Linked DNA regions of Saccharomyces cerevisiae S288C. Changing the gene in region 2 together with the main gene of any one other region gives a genetic interaction. Each region holds a gene or a part of one and is shown on either strand. Other genes may lie near its edges. The genes, in order: YHL048C-A and BIO4.

Region 1 (10,610 bases), on a different chromosome or scaffold from region 2:
GGCCCAATACTACATGTTCCAAGCCGCCCACCCAACTGAAACCTACCCGGTTGAAGTTGCTGAAGCCGTTTTCAACTACGGTGACTTCACCACCATGTTGACTGGTATTGCCCCAGACCAAGTGACCAGAATGATCACCGGTGTTCCATGGTACTCCAGCAGATTAAAGCCAGCCATCTCCAGTGCTCTATCCAAGGACGGTATCTACACTATCACAAACTAGAGACAAACGCCTTTACGAATGAAATTCCATAAAACTTAAAAAAACAAAAAAAAAAAAGCTTTTTTTTTTGATAGTATAAATAGTTGATTATATTAATGTATACCAGTATTATAAAACCTACTTGATTATTCATGCCGTTCTTATCAGAAGTATTTACTGTAGTGGTAAAATATAGTGCCTTGATAATCCAATAGTCTTGTCTGTCTAAAAGGCTTCAGTTGAATACCTTCTTTCGTACATGTTGCTATTTCAGGGTATCGGGCCGGAGCATTTACCATTTGCGGCGTAAATGCTAAAGTTAATAAATCTGAGTCTTCCTGTTTTATGAGTCAGATGGAGGTGTAACGCAAAGAGTAAGTTAATCACAGAAAAAGGTTAGTATCCATTACATATTTATGTTATAGAACATATATGCGTATAGAGACAGAAAAATTGTTTAATAATAAAATCACCCACGCTTGCGTAAGACGTCCTTGAAGTCTTAATTAGTCCAGCTATAGTTATTAGCTATACCAATTGAAGAACCAATCGGTCGAGCGTTTTATATATCAGTAGAAAGCAAGCCTCTTACGAACTTGAATTTGGTACTTCCATAACTACATAATCATTTAACCCTTGCTTTACACTTGCCCAAAACTCTTAATTTAAAGAAAATGATCAAGTCTTAGATCAAGAGATGGGATATATGTCAATGATCGAATCATGCTCGACTAGGAAATAAGTCTGTACCGCGTAGAATCCTTTACTGTTTGTTTGAGATGAGCTTTAAACTTGAATTCTCTATCCACTCAACTGGGTAACGCTACTGAATAACTTGAAAAATGAAAACATTCACCTCAAAAAGCGCAGCGCCCTTTCTATATAAATATTTCCATTGAAAAAAATGTATAAAGAAGCAAGAAGTATGATATATGGTTTATAGTCATTCACAGGCTGAATAAACTTATGCAGGGCGGTTGGACTCCCCTTGTCCAAAAGAAAAAAGCCTCGTTTTAGCATCTTTCTTTTTTTTTCATATATATTGAGTTGTCGACAACCTACCTAGCAATATTTTTCCTTGTTAATTTAAATTATGTGAGTCCAATGATCGTCTTTTATTAAATTCTAAAGGTTTCCCTCCCGTCCGGGATCATACGAAACTTTCCTGCAGATATTAAATTTCCCTGTCAGGCCGGGTTGTGTGCAATCCGTTCTCCCTCTACCTTTGCTATATACAAACACCCGGTATATAAGCACCTATCTCAAGCAAGCAATCAGAAAATGGGTGCAGTTCTTAGTTCACAGTAAGGAACAAAAAAAAAAGAATAACTTTGAGCGTCCGTAGGGCTCCGTGCTTTACCAGTATGTCGTATATATCTTTAGAAGCAAAGCTGTGGCTGAAGTGATGGGTCCTGTTATGCCAGTAACTTGCACCTGCTTTAAGAAAACGGAATATACTTTCAGAACGTAGTCCGTAACAACCCTACTGGAGTTTCTGTGCTCCGATTCCACAAATCTAAGACAGTTACTCACTAATCTGCACAGAAGCTGAAATGATACAGCTTTTCACTAAGGGCAAGTTAAGAAGATAACGTGGTGAATTTTACCCAGTAGCCTTTTTACACCTTACTTTTTTCTATAAAGACATGAGATCCTGGTAGAAGAACTTTGCTTGTGTCCTTTCCACTTGAGCTCCAAAAACAGTTGTAACTCTTTGGGCCAAAGGAAATATGATCGAAGTCCCAGAAGACAATCGTTCTAGCCAAACAAAGCGTAAGAATACTGAAAAAAATTGTAATGAACTGATGGTTGATGAAAAGATGGATGACGATTCGTCGCCCAGAGATGAAATGAAAGATAAATTAAAGGGAACAAAATCATTGATTATTCGTAAGTCTGAGCTAATGGCTAAAAAGTATGATACTTGGCAATTAAAAGCTATATTCCTGTTTTCTGCATTCATTTGCACTTTCGCTTATGGATTAGATAGCAGCATAAGGGGTACATATATGACCTACGCAATGAACTCGTACTCCGCACATTCTCTCATTTCTACAGTAAGCGTCATAGTTCTAATGATATCTGCTGTTTCACAGGTGATCTTTGGAGGGTTATCAGATATCTTTGGAAGGCTAACGTTGTTTCTTGTATCCATTGTACTTTACATTGTGGGTACAATAATTCAATCTCAAGCATATGATGTCCAGAGGTATGCTGCTGGAGCTGTCTTTTATTATGTGGGACTTGTCGGTGTTATGCTACAGGTTGTTTTGATGTTGTCTGATAATTCTTCATTAAAATGGAGGCTATTTTACACATTGATACCTTCATGGCCCTCGATTATCACTACGTGGGTCTCAGGTAGTGTAGTGGAGGCAGCAAACCCGTTAGAGAACTGGTCGTGGAATATTGCTATGTGGGCGTTCATTTTCCCTCTATGCTGTATCCCATTGATTTTGTGTATGCTCCATATGAGATGGAAAGTAAGAAATGACGTGGAATGGAAAGAATTACAGGATGAAAAATCGTACTATCAAACGCACGGATTAGTACAAATGCTGGTACAGTTGTTCTGGAAGCTAGATGTTGTCGGTGTGTTGTTGTTTACTGCTGGTGTTGGTTGTATTCTTGTACCACTCACTCTTGCTGGTGGCGTCTCTACAAATTGGAGAAATTCAAAGATTATCGGGCCCTTTGTGCTTGGCTTTGTCCTGGTTCCAGGCTTCATATATTGGGAAAGTCGACTTGCTTTGGTTCCTTTCGCTCCATTCAAGCTGCTAAAAGATCGTGGCGTGTGGGCCCCATTGGGAATTATGTTTTTTATCTGCTTTGTATATCAAATGGCTGCTGGGTATCTCTACACCATTCTAGTAGTTGCGGTAGATGAGAGCGCTTCCTCAGCTACAAGAATAATAAACTTATACTCTTTTGTGACTGCTGTTGTTGCTCCATTTCTGGGGCTCATCGTTACGAGATCATCTAGATTGAAGTCGTATATTATTTTTGGTGGCTCACTTTATTTCATTACTATGGGACTATTTTACCGCTACAGGTCAGGTCAAGACGCCGATGGAGGTATAATTGCTGGTATGGTTATTTGGGGTCTCAGTAGTTGTTTATTCGATTATCCTACAATTGTTTCTATTCAGTCGGTAACATCCCATGAGAATATGGCTACTGTCACAGCATTAAACTATACAGTTTTCAGAATAGGTGGAGCAGTTGCAGCTGCCATTTCCGGTGCCATATGGACGCAGTCATTGTACCCTAAATTATTGCACTACATGGGAGACGCTGACCTGGCTACAGCAGCATATGGCTCACCACTAACTTTTATTCTTTCCAATCCCTGGGGTACTCCAGTTAGGTCTGCGATGGTTGAAGCTTACAGACACGTTCAAAAATACGAAGTTATTGTTGCGCTTGTATTTTCAGCGCCTATGTTCCTTCTAACATTCTGCGTAAGAGATCCTCGGTTGACTGAAGATTTTGCCCAAAAGTTACCTGACAGAGAATATGTCCAAACCAAGGAAGATGATCCTATCAATGACTGGATCGCGAAACGTTTTGCAAAGGCCTTAGGCAGGTCATAAGAAAGATTTACAAAACCCCAACAGGATATGTGTTCGAAAAAATGATCTCTGATATGCGCAGTAATTTTTGTATGGTACATAAGATGAAGCAAGATAAGTGATAGTAATATTTGTTACCATGTATATGTTTAATGTGATAACACAAAAGCGTAATATGAGTAATGTTTCAGTAATGTTTCACACATAGAAAACATATAGTGGAAAACGTATTGTAGCAAACCTCTAATCCGGTAGTACTTGAGAAATTATAGCTTCTGTGTACAAAAACAGTACCTATGTAATTCTTACATTTACATAACATATATAAACTTACTACATTATGACATATAAGCTAAATCGTAATTTACTACGTCAACAATATGTCATAGTGTAGTGATATCATTTGCGATTATATCCTACAAAAAAAAAGCACTTATATGACCAAAAATGTATTATCTGGATTTTAAGTTACCGCTTTAATATATGATGTTCTAATGTGAAGCCTGTGTACATATTGATTAGTATGAAAACATTATTGAACTTTCATGTTAATGACACCATGGCAGTATTCTTACCCCAAGTAAAGTGTTTCAGTCTTATTGCTAAAGGGTAGAATATTTTTATATTTAGGTGATTTTAGTGGTTATTTTTCTATAACAAATATTGAAAATAAGTGTTTTTGAATTTAGTGGTTATTGTATGGTGTAAAGTGATAAAACATATGCGAAAAGGAGTATTAATAATAATAAACAAGTAAAATACGTTTTGACTTACTGATATTCGATCAACTACACATAGTATATTTTGGAAAAGGAACATTTGTTCCTACTTTAGGGGCTTCTCATTGCGGGCCGATTGCGCTTCTTTAATGTATGGCCATAGCTCAACGTTCAACGAAGCAAACCACATAGGTTTTTTTAAAGATAAGAGACGATAGAAAAAGCGCCTAAAAAACCATTCGCAGTCAAGTCCATCGTAGAAAAACTCTTCATTATTCCAGACTTTTTTCTCAAACAAATACCTATTCATTTTCTTTGCAATTTCGTCCCATCCATTCGCACCACTTTCTTGCTCATTTATAATAGTTGACAAGAACTGCATCTTGTGTTCCATTTTCACGGATAAAACAATCATCCTCATATTTTGGAAATCTCTCGTCATGATAAAAAACATTACTACCGGAAACAAGAAACGTGATATAAGGTCAGCATTTCCAGACGTGTAGACAATTAAAAAATAATAAAGGAAGAGTGGTAAACACCGCAGGTTGAAAATCCTTTTAAGAATCCAGGTAAGCTTAAATCGGTAAGCTTCTTTGGGGAGCTGAATGTCTTCCAGGTCGAAAGGACTCTCTTCCTTCTCAGTATTAAACAGCTTCCACTCTTTGTCAAATCCTGCAGCATACACTTGCAAGGCCTCTTCGATATAAGGAACGGAATCCTTAAATGACTTAACCTTTGCAGATTCGTCTTTTTTTAAAGAGAAGGGTTCGAGAAGGGTTGTTTTAAACGCTTTTTGGCAGCTCATGGCATTGAAAAAAAAGTACTTGGTATTCCAAGTCTTATTTTCATAGAAGTACGAATTTAGATTTGCTGCAACGACTTCCCAATCATGAGGATCCGAACTTGGTGTGTCTTCAGTAATCTCTTTGCAAAACTGAATGAGTTGTTTCGATAAGGAACGCTTACGAGAAAGTCCACAAATAACAAGGACAAAAAATGGTCCCAGGAACAGGACAAGAAGTGAAACTATAAGTGGGTGAATCCAATTGCTGGAAAGTTTCCACCAGACGCTAAGTGGTAGCCATAACAGCATCCAGATGCGAAACGCTAAAGACTTGTAAATTTCATAACAAAACCAGGTCAATTCGTTTCGGAAAACATCTTGAGGTAGAACGGTCTTTTGGAATTCGAGCTGTTTGAAGGATAACACATCTACGCTTTTCTCATCTTTGACTTCATTCTCTTTCATTTTCGGTAGTGAGATGGCAGTTCGAGGGGTTTTTTATTCGAAATAGTAACTTCTGACTTTTCGCTTTTATACAGCACAGCAGAAAAAAAAAGCCGCCGAGGCGCGCGCGTTCATGCAATGGCTCAGTAACCTCGTGATAGAAAAAGGGAAACAATATTGGGCTATTTTAGGCAAAGAAACTCAGCTATTCGAAAAGGGCATCCATTTCATTTCCGGTTTTCTATCTAGCCAACTCGATAATCGTAATAACGAATTTACAAAACTTTAATGCGGGTGCATCACGGTGTGCCGTAACTTTGGTTTACATTTAAGGTGCGACCAGCAATGTCACTGCTCGTACAGCGGTTACCGCTTGAATGAAATACATATTTTAAGCGTAGATTTCCTGTGACAAAACTGTGTAAACATCTAGTAGAAAATAGACGTAGCTGTCACAAATATTTACACAGGAAAGAGTCCGTCCTACGTATCTGACATGAAGATTCATAGAACCAAGTTACTTACAAATGTGGACAACCTTTCAATACCATTTTTTATCCTTATGCTTGGTGTCACTGTAAAATTGATCAAGGCAAAACCTAGAGGTACGGTGGTGCTCAGATCATGCATGACATCTGGGTAATCACCACTTCTCCCGCTTGCTTTGAGATTCTGTATAAATATTGCAAACAAAAGGGTAGAGCACGGATGGGAGGCCTTATAGTAAAAATTATTCGTTTTAATCATGCGTCAGTGTGAGATTCTATGACAATAGTATGAGAAGATAGGGTGAAGTAAAAGCGTCTGTATGACTATAGAGTACAGTTATATTACAATATATGGAATAGAGCATAGTGGTATGACGGTATTAAGGAACATTTAAGTTAATGACGTCATGGTGGTATTGATACGCAATTGAGTGTGTTTATGTACTATGGTTGAAGGATAGAATATTTTTATGTTTAGGTGATTTTAGTGGTGATTTTTTTGTAATATTGGCATAAGTGTATATAAATTGAGTGGTTAGTATACGGTGAAAAAGAGGTATAACGTATGTATTAAGAGCAGTTATACAATATTTGGGGCCGCCGAATGAGATATAGATATTAAAATGTGGATAATCGTGGGCGTTATGGGTAAATGGCACAGGGTATAGACCGCTGAGGCAAGTGCCGTGCATAATGATGTGGGTGCATTTAGTACTGATTTAGTGAGAGATGGGTCATGGAGTGGAGTAGAATGTGAAAGTAGGGTAAGTTGAGAGTGGTATATACTGTAGCATCCGTGTGCGTATGCCGTACCAGTATACAAGTGCAAGTGAGTGTGGCATGTGGTGTGTGTGGGTAAGTACGTGTGTATTATTTACGATCATTTGTCAACGTTTCAACATGGTGGGTGGGACATGGAGCATTAGGAAGTGACTTGGTACGCCAAAAAGGGCTCCTCTACCTCAGCGGGGTAATAAAATTTATCCACGAAGCGGCTGAGCAACGAACAGAATCCTGGTTCTCCTCGACTAAGCAGACGGTTAAGATACTGTGCACCATGGAAATTGAAAACGAAAGCACGTACCGACTGCTTTATTTTTGCAGGCCGGAAATCAAGCGATGAATGAGACATCCTTCTGTTTTCTATGTTGGGACAGACAGTCGCTTATCTTAGTGAGATTTCTTATTAACTGAATTTTCTTTGCTGCTGCTGGAGATTTGCACCTGCATAGCGCAGATTCTGCTTCTTCTCAATAGAGTAGCTTAATTATTACATTCTTAGATGATGATAAGACGGAAACTGGACAATCTTTTGTTTATATTGATGGATTTCTTGTCAAAAAGCATAACAATCAACATACTATTGTTAATTTCGAAACTTACAAAAATAAAATGAAAGTTTCCGATAGGCGTAAGTTTGAAAAAGCAAACTTTGACGAGTTTGAGTCGGCTCTAAATAACAAAAACGACTTGGTACATTGTCCCTCAATAACTTTATTTGAATCGATCCCCACGGAAGTGCGGTCATTCTACGAAGACGAAAAGTCTGGCCTAATCAAAGTGGTAAAATTCAGAACTGGTGCAATGGATAGGAAAAGGTCTTTTGAAAAAATTGTCGTTTCCGTCATGGTCGGGAAAAATGTACAAAAGTTCCTGACGTTTGTTGAAGACGAACCAGATTTCCAGGGCGGACCAATCCCTTCAAAGTATCTTATTCCCAAGAAAATCAACTTGATGGTCTACACGTTGTTTCAAGTGCATACTTTGAAATTCAATAGAAAGGATTACGATACCCTTTCTCTTTTTTACCTCAACAGAGGATACTATAATGAGTTGAGTTTCCGTGTCCTGGAACGTTGTCACGAAATAGCGAGTGCCAGGCCGAACGACAGCTCTACGATGCGTACTTTCACTGACTTTGTTTCTGGCGCACCTATTGTAAGGAGTCTTCAGAAAAGCACCATAAGGAAATATGGGTACAATTTGGCACCCCACATGTTTTTGTTACTACACGTAGATGAGCTATCGATTTTTTCTGCATACCAAGCAAGTTTACCTGGCGAAAAGAAAGTCGACACAGAGCGGCTGAAGCGTGATCTATGCCCACGTAAACCCACTGAGATAAAGTACTTTTCACAGATATGTAACGATATGATGAACAAAAAGGACCGATTGGGTGATGTTTTGCATGTGTGCTGCCCAAGTTGAGAAGAGATACTAACAAAATGACCGCGGCTCTCAAAAATAATTGACGAGCTTACGGTGATACGCTTACCGTTATCCAGAGCTACAGCGCAACGTATACGTCGACGATACAACAAGAACGGTTCATCGGAGCCTCGACTAAAGACGCTTGACGGACTCACTTCCGAGCGCTGGATTCAATGGTTAGGCCTTGAAAGCGACTACCATTGTTCATTCTCTAGTACTCGGAATGCGGAAGACGTAGTGGCAGGTGAGGCGGCGAGTTCAGATCATGATCAAAAAATTTCAAGAGTAACGCGAAAAAGGCCCCGAGAGCCCAAGAGTACAAACGATATCCTCGTCGCAGGCCAGAAACTCTTTGGCAGCTCCTTTGAATTCAGGGACTTGCATCAGTTGCGCTTATGTCATGAAATATACATGGCAGACACACCCTCTGTGGCAGTACAGGCCCCACCGGGCTATGGTAAGACGGAGTTATTTCATCTCCCCTTGATAGCACTGGCGTCTAAGGGCGACGTGGAATATGTGTCGTTTCTGTTTGTACCGTACACAGTGTTGCTTGCTAATTGCATGATCAGGTTGGGCCGATGCGGTTGCTTGAATGTGGCCCCTGTAAGAAACTTTATTGAAGAAGGTTGCGATGGCGTTACTGATTTATACGTGGGGATCTACGATGATCTTGCTAGCACTAATTTCACAGACAGGATAGCTGCGTGGGAGAATATTGTTGAGTGCACCTTTAGGACCAACAACGTAAAATTGGGTTACCTCATTGTAGATGAGTTGCACAACTTTGAAACGGAGGTCTACCGGCAGTCGCAATTTGGGGGCATAACTAACCTTGATTTTGACGCTTTTGAGAAAGCAATCTTTTTGAGCGGCACAGCCCCTGAGGCTGTTGCTGATGCTGCGTTGCAGCGTATTGGGCTTACGGGACTGGCCAAGAAGTCGATGGACATCAACGAGCTCAAACGGTCGGAAGATCTCAGCAGAGGTCTATCCAGCTATCCAACACGGATGTTTAATCTAATCAAGGAGAAATCCAAGGTGCCTTTAGGGCATGTTCATAAAATTCGGAAGAAAGTGGAATCACAGCCCGAAGAAGCACTGAAGCTTCTTTTAGCCCTCTTTGAAAGTGAACCAGAGTCGAAGGCCATTGTAGTTGCAAGCACAACCAACGAAGTGGAAGAATTGGCCTGCTCTTGGAGAAAGTATTTTAGGGTGGTATGGATACACGGGAAGCTGGGTGCTGCAGAAAAGGTGTCTCGCACAAAGGAGTTTGTCACTGACGGTAGCATGCGAGTTCTCATCGGAACAAAATTAGTGACTGAAGGAATTGACATTAAGCAATTGATGATGGTGATCATGCTTGATAATAGACTTAATATTATTGAGCTCATTCAAGGCGTAGGGAGACTAAGAGATGGGGGGGGGGGCTCTGTTATCTATTATCTAGAAAAAACAGTTGGGCCGCAAGGAATCGTAAGGGTGAATTGCCACCAATTAAGGAAGGCTGTATAACCGAACAGGTACGCGAGTTCTATGGACTTGAATCAAAGAAAGGAAAAAAGGGCCAGCATGTTGGATGCTGTGGCTCCAGGACAGACCTGTCTGCTGACACAGTGGAACTGATAGAAAGAATGGACAGATTGGCTGAAAATCAGGCGACAGCTTCCATGTCGATCGTTGCGTTACCGTCTAGCTTCCAGGAGAGCAATAGCAGTGACAGGTACAGAAAGTATTGCAGCAGTGATGAGGACAGCGACACGTGCATTCATGGTAGTGCTAATGCCAGTACTAACGCCAGTACCAATGCGACTACCAACTCCAGCACTAATGCTACTACCACTGCCAGCACCAACGTCAGGACTAGTGCTACTACTACTGCCAGCATCAACGTCAGGACTAGTGCGACTACCACTGCCAGCATCAACGTCAGGACTAGTGCGACTACCACTGAAAGTACCAACTCCAACACTAATGCTACTACCACTGAAAGTACCAACTCCAGCACTAATGCTACTACCACTGCTAGCACCAACTCCAGCACTAATGCTACTACCACTGAAAGTACCAACGCTAGTGCCAAGGAGGACGCCAATAAAGATGGCAATGCTGAGGATAATAGATTCCATCCAGTCACCGACATTAACAAAGAGCCGTATAAGCGGAAAGGGAGTCAAATGGTTTTGC
Region 2 (11,201 bases):
TCTTCCTGCCATACAAGTTAGCAAATGGAGCCAAGAATAAAGTGGACCAACCAATACCTAGGAAAAGAACACCAGCCCCTGTGTTCATGGAATCGTAGGATATCCCATAAATCTCATTCAATGAGTCTTGAGCAGCACCAGCGTCGTTACTAGTAGCGGCGGTAAACGCAGTTATAAAGGCCATTAGACCAAAATGAGCCAATTTCCTCCAGCTAGACCAGTTCAGTGGATCATTTGGCGAGTATGATGGTTGAGGGATTAGGACGACTCCTGAGGAGGTTTTCTTCAATTTTGATTCGTATATAATACCATTTTCCAAATTTTGGGAAGAATAGATGTTAAATGTGCCAGGAATATAGTCCGGATGATCCCTGTTGGTATATTTGTCCATCTGTTAAAAATTTAAGATTCACACTCGCAAACTTTCTTCTATAGTAGTTCTTTTCTTTATATTCGTTAGAAATGCAAAAGTTGCGAAGCTGTTTTGTTATATCCTGTAGATTGTAATATGATACTTCGATTCTTTCGGATTTAGTGTTTACTTGCTATTCTTCTAGTTTCAAATAAATAAGATAATAAGGGATGTCAACTTGGTAGTAATAGCATGAAATAGTATCGTAAAATTAAGGATGCTAGCGCTTTCGACAACAAAATGGGCTTGTTTTATTTTTGCAGAGGAGGTTCAGTAAATATTACCTCAGAGACTGATACAGATAATTCTTTCTTATTCGACTGCGTATTTATCTTTATCGTTTAGATTGAAGACAATAGACAATTAAATGAATCTATAGAAAGGTTAGGAAATAGTCTAAACTACTATGGTTTGTTAACGGCGAGGTCTTTAGTTTAATTTTCTGTCTGGAAAATAACTTTATCCTAAAAAGAAAATTTTCATCAACTGCAACTTTTTTTGTTATGCTTTTGTTCTCGCTAGGCGAAAGCTCCCTAAAAATATCCGTAGAATTTCATATGACACAACCAGGCCTTGATGTAAACGTCAAACTACACATTTCTCAAAGCTTAGAGAGCTGATGCATGAAATTTTTGCATTGTGTGGTATTATATGTGACTTAAGAAAGTAATTGTACATCATAAGAGAGAAAAATTCTGTTCAGAGAAGAACTATTTGAATATATTTTAAAAGATAAAAAAATGTCTTGGCAAAAATAAGTAAGTAATGAAAAAGAAATTTTCTCGAAGAAAAAAATGAAAAAAATGACTAAGTACTCAATATCCTTGATTTTCTAGTTTTCATTTTCCTCAAAAAAACTTGTCCACATTCATTCTCTGAATCGTTCTTCTTTGGTATATACTATCATGCGAATACGTCTTTTTTCTTTTGATATTAAAATATCTACAGACTATTTTGTGCACCTATAAAATAAATTTTGTCATGACTTGTAATTTTCCCATAATCGGGACTATTTAAGGACCAAAAATACACTTTCGCCCAACTTGCTGCTTGACCAGGACTTTCGATAATCTCCTAATTACACTAGCTAGTTTTTACTTGTTATGGTTTGTGCAGTTGAGATAGCTCAGTAAAATGGCTTTATGTGTTCTGATCTTATAATGAATCGTAATCGAAATCCACATATTTCATTCATACTGACGGAGAATAGGTTAAGCGCTGCTGCTATGGTACCTACTTTTACTCTTTGTGGTGTGCGATTAGTTTTGTAATACAAGGGTACTTCTGGTAATAAATATACAATTATTTTATGAAACTATGATACAGGAGGGCAGAAGTTCTGACGATAGAGCTACAAAAGGTAGTATCGACCTAGGAATTTATAAGGACTGTTTTTCTTTCAACAGCATCTTAGATGCATGTAGGGAAAACAACGATGCTGATAATGCAGAAAACTACTGCATACACTACTGAGGTGTAATTCATGTTTCCTGCAGTAACCGGTAGTGTATATGGGAAAGATAAAAATACCAGGCAGAACAAGGTCCATAGAATACATATAATATGAGGAATCATAGACATACGACGACGGTTAGGCCTGCTGACACAATTTACGTCACTCTCGATTCTATGAATGAATTTTTCCTTTTTAATAACGAACAGGAATATAAAAGAAGGAACTGCGTACGACATTAGTAACAGGGTGATGCATGCAGTGATAATTGCGTTGAAAGCGGTACTAGATCCCATAAATATACAGCCAATTATCGTTACACATATTTGTGACAAAAAATGGGCATATAATGGAGACTTAAACCCAGGTGTCAACACTGCTAGCTTCTTCAAGGATTTGTTTCCCAAGGAACCCTCTTTATAAAATGGTGCGTAACTTTTCCCGAATGATTGGAGGATTCGACTTTGCCAGGTTCCACTTGCAATGCCTGAAACAAAACCTGTTGTGATACACATACATTGCAGGAAGACACTGAGATTCCTATTACCAGTGGCCTGGTAAAATATTTCTACGATAGGTAAAATAGACTCAACGACTGCCGTTTGGTCAGTGATGCAGAAAAACAAACCAACGCAATAAATAAAACTAGTTACAAAGCCCACAATGATGGTAGTGATAATAACTTTGGGAACTAAGAAACGTGACTTACTATAACCCACTTCATCAATCATGTGCGTAGCAGAGTCAATGCCAACAAATGCCCAGATCGGATTGACCAAACCGACAACAAACGCCATTCCAGACGAATTCCAGCCTGTTTGATTATCAAAGCTCCCAAATATATTAGAAGCTTTGGGCCATGGGTCTACGGTGTTGTCAGATCTTGAAACAATACAAATAATGAAAGTCATGGCGAAAGACAATAGAGACGTATAGAGCCCAAACTGAGAGATATAGGGCAACGGAGTTGAATAAATGTTGAAAAGTGTCAAAACGGCATTGATACACTCGTAACCCACAAAAACATGCCAGTGCTTTAACTCGTAGTCCGGATGCAACAACTTATGAATACCGATACAGCTCATTGACAAAGATGAGCAGATACTTGCGGTAGTAAAAATGGCACCGAAATAGTTCAGCAACCCTACAACCATGGAAGAAACCTTTTGAAATTTAGAAGAAACTTCCACGTTGAAAGTTTGACAATAATTCTCGAGGAACACTTCTTCATCATCGTCAGAAGGGTCCTCGTACTCAGGGGTTTTCAAAGTGACTGATTCTTGTTCCAACATTTTAAGAACCCAAAATGAACCACCGCTGCTGTTTGGCAGGATAGCAGCAAAATCTCCCAGAGATATACCACACATGAGACTGAAAAAAGCAGCAATTATCAACCCATAGATGATAAGCAGTGGCCCTCCACTGGCAATACCAACGGCCATCGACGCTGAGATACCGACCCATGAGCAACTTAATGAGAACGCGATACCTAATAGGGACCACCAATTAAAGTGCTTGTCAAACTTGACTTCTGACCTTTCTGAACTAGACATTCTTATTTCCGTCCTGTGACGATCTGGAACAATAGACAAAAAAAAATTTCTTTCATATACAAATAGGAACACTGCCCCTACTCTGTTCATACCATGCTACTTATATATAGCTGATGAAAGCCTTGCAACTTTTTTATTTAAACTATTCTACGTCTTGTTGGGTCATTAATGACTCCACCGATGGCAGTTCATGCAACTCCATATCCTGATCATGTGCCGTAGTACATTGTGCAACCTGTGCCATAATATTGACACCGAACTTCTTCAGGGCCTGCACGTTGCCTTCATTCGGTTCCCCATTGAGAATGACCCCAAAAAGGTGGCTTCTCAAGCCATTATCGCAAAGATGATTCCAAGTCAGCAATGTATGATTCAGAGTCCCTAGCCCGCTGCGTGCCACGACAACTACGTACACTGGATGGCCGCTAGTCTCAATCAGATGTTTAATTAGATCCGTCGTAATTTCCAATTTACGAGTGATAGGAACGCAAACCCCGCCGGCTCCTTCTACGACCAATGGATTCTCTGCGCTCCACTCTTCAGGAACTACGAAATCCAACAACCTGATGTCGACATTAGGTTCGTACTCCATGGCCTGGAGCGGAGATAGAGGCTTCTGCAGCGCATAAGTGGGCGTGAATATAGGTGGTTGCCAAGTTGATGCGGCTATTTTGAAATTTTTCAATGTCTCGGAGTCACCTTGATCTGACTCAATTCCAGTTTGTACGGGTTTCCAGTATGCAGCTTTCCATTTGTGTACCAATAATGTTGATACAAAGGTTTTACCAACATCAGTGTCTGTACCGGTGACGAATACAATTGGTTGTTGTTCTTGTTGTTGAGATTTGCTGTTCATGACCTGTGCGCTAGTGATTTTTTGAGTTCTTTTCACTGGCCTACTTGTGGAAAAAAGTATATCTCTTTATATACTTCAGTAAACGAACTACCAGCGGGATTTTATTTTGTTTTGCCCAATAATTTTGAATTATAAATAGCCATTGTTTGTATATTTCATTTTCTTTTGGTCGGGAGGATGTCAACAGCGCAATTCGTTTTCTATTGCTAGGATAACAACTAATGTCCCAAGAAATTTCATATACACCAGATGTCGCGGAACTGCTAGACTTTGATAAAAAACATATTTGGCATCCTTATACGTCATTGAGTTCACCATTGAACGTTTATCCGGTAAAGAGTGCTCACGGATGCAAGCTGGTGTTGGATACCGACTCACCAGTGGACGTCGAGGTGATCGACGCCATGTCGTCGTGGTGGTGTGTTATTCACGGGTACAATAATCCAGAACTAAATGAGGCCCTTACCAAGCAGATGTTAAAGTTTTCTCACGTCCTTCTTGGTGGATTCACCCATAAAGGAGCTGTGAATCTAGTCCAAAAACTTTTAAAAGTGATTGATGAACCCTCTTTGCAGTACTGTTTCCTCGCAGATTCTGGCTCAGTAGCAGTGGAAGTAGCTTTGAAGATGGCTTTACAATCAAACATGTCAGGGGAAGCTACTAAAAATAGAACAAAGTTTTTGACAATCAAGAACGGGTATCATGGTGATACATTTGGCGCTATGAGTGTTTGTGATCCTGAGAATTCTATGCATCATATCTACAACGATCGACTCAGTGAGAACATCTTCGCCCAAGCTCCCTCTATTGTCGATGGCCTTCCAACCAGCCAGAACGGTTTCGAGGACCATTGGAATGCAGAAGAAGTTACCGATCTCAAGAAGCAATTTGAATTGCATAGTGATAAGATCTGTGCTGTGATTTTGGAGCCTATCTTACAGGGTGCAGGAGGTTTGCGACCATACCATCCACAGTTCTTAATCGAAGTTCAGAAACTATGTAACCAATACGACGTTTTATTCATCATGGACGAGATTGCTACAGGATTTGGTAGAACAGGTGAGATTTTCGCATTCAAGCACTGTCAAAAATACCAGGACCAACATGGCATCAGTCCTTCCGATCAGATCAAAGTTGTTCCTGACATATTGTGCGTTGGGAAGGGCTTAACCAGTGGATATATGACTATGAGTGCAGTGGTAGTCAACGACAAAGTTGCTTCCAGAATCTCTTCTCCAAATAGCCCTACTGGTGGCTGCTTCATGCATGGCCCCACCTTCATGGGCAATGCCCTGGCATGCAGTGTGGCAGAAAAGTCTATGGATATACTACTGCGTGGCGAGTGGAGAAAACAAGTGTCTGCAATTGAAAACCAAATTTATAGAGAACTATACCAGTACATCAAGAACCCAGATAATGGGCTCATTGGAACTGTTGTTAAGCGTGTGTCAGTTATTGGAGCTGTAGGTATCGTAGAGCTATACAAGAAGACAGATCCCGAGTGGTTCCAGAAAAAGTTTATATCCAAGGGAGTACATATCCGACCTTTCAACTGCCTGTGTTACATTATGCCACCATATGTGATCACGACAGAGGAATTGACGAAGGTTAATCAAGTCTTGATTGAAGTATTACATGAGTGGAAATCCCACATAAACCAATGATATACGATCTCATCAAGTCATTTGCCAAGGAATTCTTATTTCTTGCGTAAAATGCATTCTTTTACGCTATTATTTATATTGATATAACTCAAAATAAAAAATTTATGGTTATTTATTCTAGCGGACCTTTATATCTTACTTTTCTTATCATAAAACTATGTCGAAGCCTGCTGCACAAGAGAAAATTGACTAGTTCAGGGCAAGAACGTATCACAGGAAGTACGAGTTGAGAAATCTGGACCGAAATGGTCCGTGGTCGCCTACCCGCCTTCTGTGCCATCACGGTACTCTCTTCTATGTTCTCCCATTAGCGCTAGTTACACTCCTCAGCAGCTGACACATCTCACGATCCTATCTTTTATTTATTATGAGAAGAACGGAAAAGATGGGATATTATAGGCTCAGCTTACTCTTCAAGCAACTACTGTTGAACCGGGTCGTACAACTCATACCTTTGAACCCTCTGGTAAATTTTTCCGGCAGAGTCAAGATTATTATTGAGGCAAACCTGTAAATTTCCTTCAGCATTTGATTATCTTCCGCTACTTGAAATTTTGCACTATATCTTCCTCTATTAACCTATCCGCAGTAACTATTCACAAGACCTTGAATGTAGTAAACGATGTCTATATAACTTAATATTGTGTAAGATCTTACAAGATGTACTGGGCCCAGGCTTTTCACGGGGATCAAACCGTTGCTCTCCTAGATGAGAAAACGCTTTGCCATCACACTGAAGTAGCATGGGCAGTATTTTCCCTCGAATATTGTTATTATCAAAGCAAGCAATATCAGCAGTAGTTTTTATTTCAACATATAAGATCACCTATGTTGCAATCTCTGCAAAATTAGTAATGTTACCCTCCAAGTAATTGTATGACCTCTCTTCTGAAGGTAAACATTGCGCCTCTTTGTTTAAAGCAGCAGCACTAGTTTATCATGGTTTCGTTACCTAGGAAAGGATCGGTAGTGCTATGTAACACTTGGAAAAGATGAAATTTGTTAACATGAAATTGAGTCCCTTGTGTTAAGGTAAAAGTGCCATCTTTAAAAACGTACTCTGCAAAAAATGGTATTGCGCATACGAAGAATTAAGAAACTGGCACCATTGATCTTCACATCATTGTTGTCTCTCATTGTTCTTTTTAGGGTCTACCGACAGTATCCATTCTCCGACCATTTCGAAACACGCAGAGAAGATGATCGCTCTGGCAACGTGCACTGCTTTTCTAGACTGCGTCAAATAGAGGAATATGAAAAGCCGGAATTGACAAGTAAATTCTATGAACCGAATAGATGGAAATCTTTTATATCTTACGTGACCAGGAGTCGCAAGGATGTGAAAACTGTGTCCCGATCGCTATCCAATTTGGATTTGTATCAAAAATGCTCAAAAGAAATCCGTGCTGATCAGGATATTTCCCTTCTTCATAGCATAGAAACCAAGTTGTTCCCATATATAAACTTCACAGCCCTAAATAGTGAACAATCTCATAATTTTTGGCCTGTTCATACCCGATTTGATGGAACAAAGTACCGTGGACAGGTATTACAATTTTCTTCTGAGAACAATTCGTTCATTGGAACTTCACCCATTGAATTCAAGGCTAGCGAACCTTTTTGGGAGAACTGGTTGAATTCAGCTCTTCAAAGGAATTCAAAAGGTGTGGTAATGAGCGTATCGGAATATCTGGTGGCTGATACAATTCGACTAATAAGAGTTTTGCGGCTGTTAAATAATTCCCTTCCAATTGAAATCGTTCACAAATCGGATTTACATGAGAGTTCTCAACAGCTCTTGATAGCAGCAGCAAGAGAATCTGGATCCTTAAATTATCCCCCTCAGGAATTGTGGTTTCTGGATGTGAAAGACATGTTAAATGACGAATATTTAGCGAGATTCAAGAGATTTTCGAATAAGTGGCTGGCAATTACCTTTTGTTCATTTCAAATACCAATCTTTTTGGACTCTGATACTGTACCTTTTGTCCCGTTGGATACACTCTATGAAATTGACGGATTTAAAAGAACAGGTACACTGTTTTTCAAAGACAGGAGTTTTCCAACCTCCAAGTTAAGTCCACTCCAAGTTAAAGTTTTGAAGCAGATAATCAATAATAGTCTGGATGTATCCTCGGATTCGGAGCAAGGTTTTGAAATCTTAAAACATAACCTAAACGATGAGATGGCAATTGATGCAATAGAGGCCTTGATTTTCAAGAAACAAAAACATTACATGGACAGCGGCTTAGTGATATTCGATAAACAAAAACACTTTTTCTGTCTACCAATCGCAATAATGCTGCAATTTTCGCCTATCCAAGAGTTTTTCCATGGTGATAAGGAATGGTTTTGGCTTAGTTTGTTTATTTCCAAAAAAGAGTTTACTTTTTATCCAATAGAGGCTTCGAATGTAGGAAGATTAGAGAAGCCGGAGACTCTAGAAAGCAGTACAATCTGTTCTACCCAGCTATCTCACACGGACGTGTACGGTAATCTTTTGTGGTTGAATGGCGGATTATCCGTTTGCAAAAAAAATTGTTGGAATTATGATTTTACAAAGCGTAAAGAGATTGCGGCCAAATACAAAAGCGTTGATGAATTACGGAATTACTATCAATCACCTGTGAAACTCGAAGCTGTCATAATACCCGATGTCAGCAAGTCCCCCTGGTCGCAACAGAGCGAATGCGTTATGTACAGCTATTGCACACATTATAGGAAGGGACAGTACGGAAAATTGATAGAGTTTACAGATTCTCAAAAGAAATATTACGAGAAAGTTGTAGAATTATGGAACAAGGTTGTATAGAGTATGTTTCAGTATGAGTACGGTGAATTTCCTATAAGTTTTTAAACTTTTAGATTTTTCTATAAAGCATGTTAAACCCTTCTTGACATCGTTTTCAAACGGCATCTTTCCTACGGAACTAGGCTGTTTTTGAGATATCCTTATTTAAGTTCCTCTTGGCACAATGTTATTCCCGCATTTATATTTAGTTAACATTATGTGAAATTCGCTCATAAAAAGAGCCTTAGCTCTTTCTTCATTTTGCCTCAAGAAAACTTTAAAATAAAGTAGGAATGCCAACAATACTTTTCTTCAGTAAAAGACGAATATTGGCGTAGAATTTTACCGGTAATCATATATACTTGGCTTAGAACACTGACACATGCATTTTTCTCTGGACCCTTGCACAAATCATCAGTAGCGCCTGAATCAAAAACTAACAAAATACCATATCTGTTTTAAACAAATAAGTATATCGCATGAAGTAAGTTTCCCGCACGTAAAACTACTACAACACATTTTCGCCTAGAATTATAAGAATGTTTAGTGCATTGGCTCCAAGCGAGTAATTGTACGATGCACGTGCATAAAAAGTGCTCAGTACCCAGTTCCGCTATTAGCACAGGGAAATTTTCCTTACAAGCGAGCCCTTCAATAGCTTAGGAAGTAAGGTTACTTTGGCGACGGCCATAGATGCCTGAGTAGCCTTTTTCCTTTTTCCTTCCCTCAAGAATGTGTGAAATGACGTTTTCGGGATAAAGCGGGCGCTAGCAAGAAACTTCTACTAAGAGTAACGTGGCTGAGAAGAGAAGAATAATAAAGGTATGCCATGGAATAATTTTAGAAGAGGGGGACCTGCTTCTTAGAAACACGTAATCTGAATCCCAGAGCAACTGCGTACAAAACAAGATCTTGGCTTTGTAAGCAGGAACGGCTTTTTCCGATAGAAGAACGTTTTTTGTTTTTTTATGCAAGACCGTCTAAAAATTTGCACCCTATTTAACATAGACACTCAACGAATACCATAATTGCACCTGGTTTCATAGGACCCTGAGGGAACAATACTCAAAAGAACAAAGACTACTGGTAGAGGTCCCGATATATCCCTTCACTGCCGGTGACTATGGTAAAAATGAGGTTACAATTTCTGTATCGTTAGAGAAAATTTTTTTCGTTAAGGCAAACGCATCAGCGTTTACATAGGGAATTCCTAGCGTAGTTTAATGAGCAAGGTACATCAAACCCTAGTAGTTCTTGCAGTTACACAAAATATTCGTTAAAAGCCAGTTTTTCTCCTCTTTCTTAGTCTTGGCTGACTCTCATATAAAACAACTAGAGAAGCTGAGAAAGACTCCAGTTAATCGTGTCTCCCCAGCGTCTATTTCTTGAACCTGAGATGGCTAAATAAGCTTAGGTAGGCAAAACCATGTTGTTGGTACATATTATATCTTTCCTTCTGTTCTTCCAGCTTTCGGCCGCAAAGGCCCCACCCAGTAAAACGTCTCTAATAAATACTCATGAGAGAAGGTCGATATATTCATGCTACGTTGGTTTACGTAAAGAAACATGGGGGTTCAATGGGTCCGCTATATGTCGGTATGAACCAGCAATCCAATCGATGCTTTACTGTCTTTACGAAGACACGCATGAGAAAGGGTATTCAAATAAAACTTTGGAGAAAGGTTTTGAAGAAATGAGACAATTTTGCTATACACCAAAGTTTTTGAACATGACTGATGCCGAGTTTTACACCTCATTGGATAATGGAACATACTATATACAAGATCAACCTAAAGCTGGCATCAATATCACTTATCCTATCAGACTGAACACTACACTAAGAAAAGCATACTATGATGCATACTATGGTTACTACTATAACCATGACATTCCGTATTATTTCGGGGGCATTATCTGTGCATACTTTGTGGGTGTCATGTTGCTTGCAGGTTTAATTCGTTTTTTGAATTATACCCCAATAAAAAAGATTATGTTTCAGCAAAAGCTAGTCAATTACGTGAGAGGTTATACTACTCTACCCACTCTTTATGAAAAGCATGCAGAGCCCTTCTCGTACTTAAAAGTGATAACAGGCTATCTTCCTACTAGGTTTGAAACGTTGGTTATTTTAGGCTACCTCATACTTCATACCATTTTCATGGCCTACAAATATCAATATGATCCATACCACATCATATTTGCCGCTCATAGAGCAGAAGTGGCACATTTTGTTGCGTACAGAAGCGGTATACTTTCTTTTGCACACCTGCCACTCATTGTTTTATTTGCGGGAAGAAATAACTTTCTCCAACTTATTTCTGGCTTGAAGCATACCTCATTCATTGTGTTCCATAAGTGGCTGGGAAGAATGATGTTTCTTGATGCAATAATTCATGCTGCCGGCTTTACGAACTATTATTTGTATTATAAAAAATGGAATACGGTTAGATTAAGAGTCTACTGGAAATTCGG

What was found.
Region 1: mutations in BIO4 (region 2) and YHL048C-A together harm fitness more than expected from each alone (negative genetic interaction), as found in Saccharomyces cerevisiae (one large-scale study listed by BioGRID).

What each region holds. Positions count from the first base shown.
Region 1 is NC_001140.6:1,536-12,145, reverse strand, and holds YHL048C-A (uncharacterized protein), read left to right. Parts: upstream 1-6,348; coding exon 6,349-6,483; downstream 6,484-10,610. Other genes in the region: seripauperin PAU13, read left to right, coding at 1-223; ARN2 (siderophore transporter), read left to right, coding at 1,933-3,795; COS8 (Cos8p), read right to left, coding at 4,600-5,745; YHL049C (uncharacterized protein), read left to right, coding at 7,605-8,420; YHL050C (uncharacterized protein), read left to right, coding at 8,835-9,475, 10,249-10,610.
Region 2 is NC_001146.8:729,796-740,996, forward strand, and holds BIO4 (dethiobiotin synthase), read right to left. Parts: upstream 4,275-11,201; coding exon 3,561-4,274; downstream 1-3,560. Other genes in the region: HOL1 (Hol1p), read right to left, coding at 1-391; BIO5 (Bio5p), read right to left, coding at 1,823-3,508; BIO3 (adenosylmethionine-8-amino-7-oxononanoate transaminase), read left to right, coding at 4,496-5,938; MNT4 (putative alpha-1,3-mannosyltransferase), read left to right, coding at 7,008-8,750; FRE4 (ferric-chelate reductase), read left to right, coding at 10,156-11,201.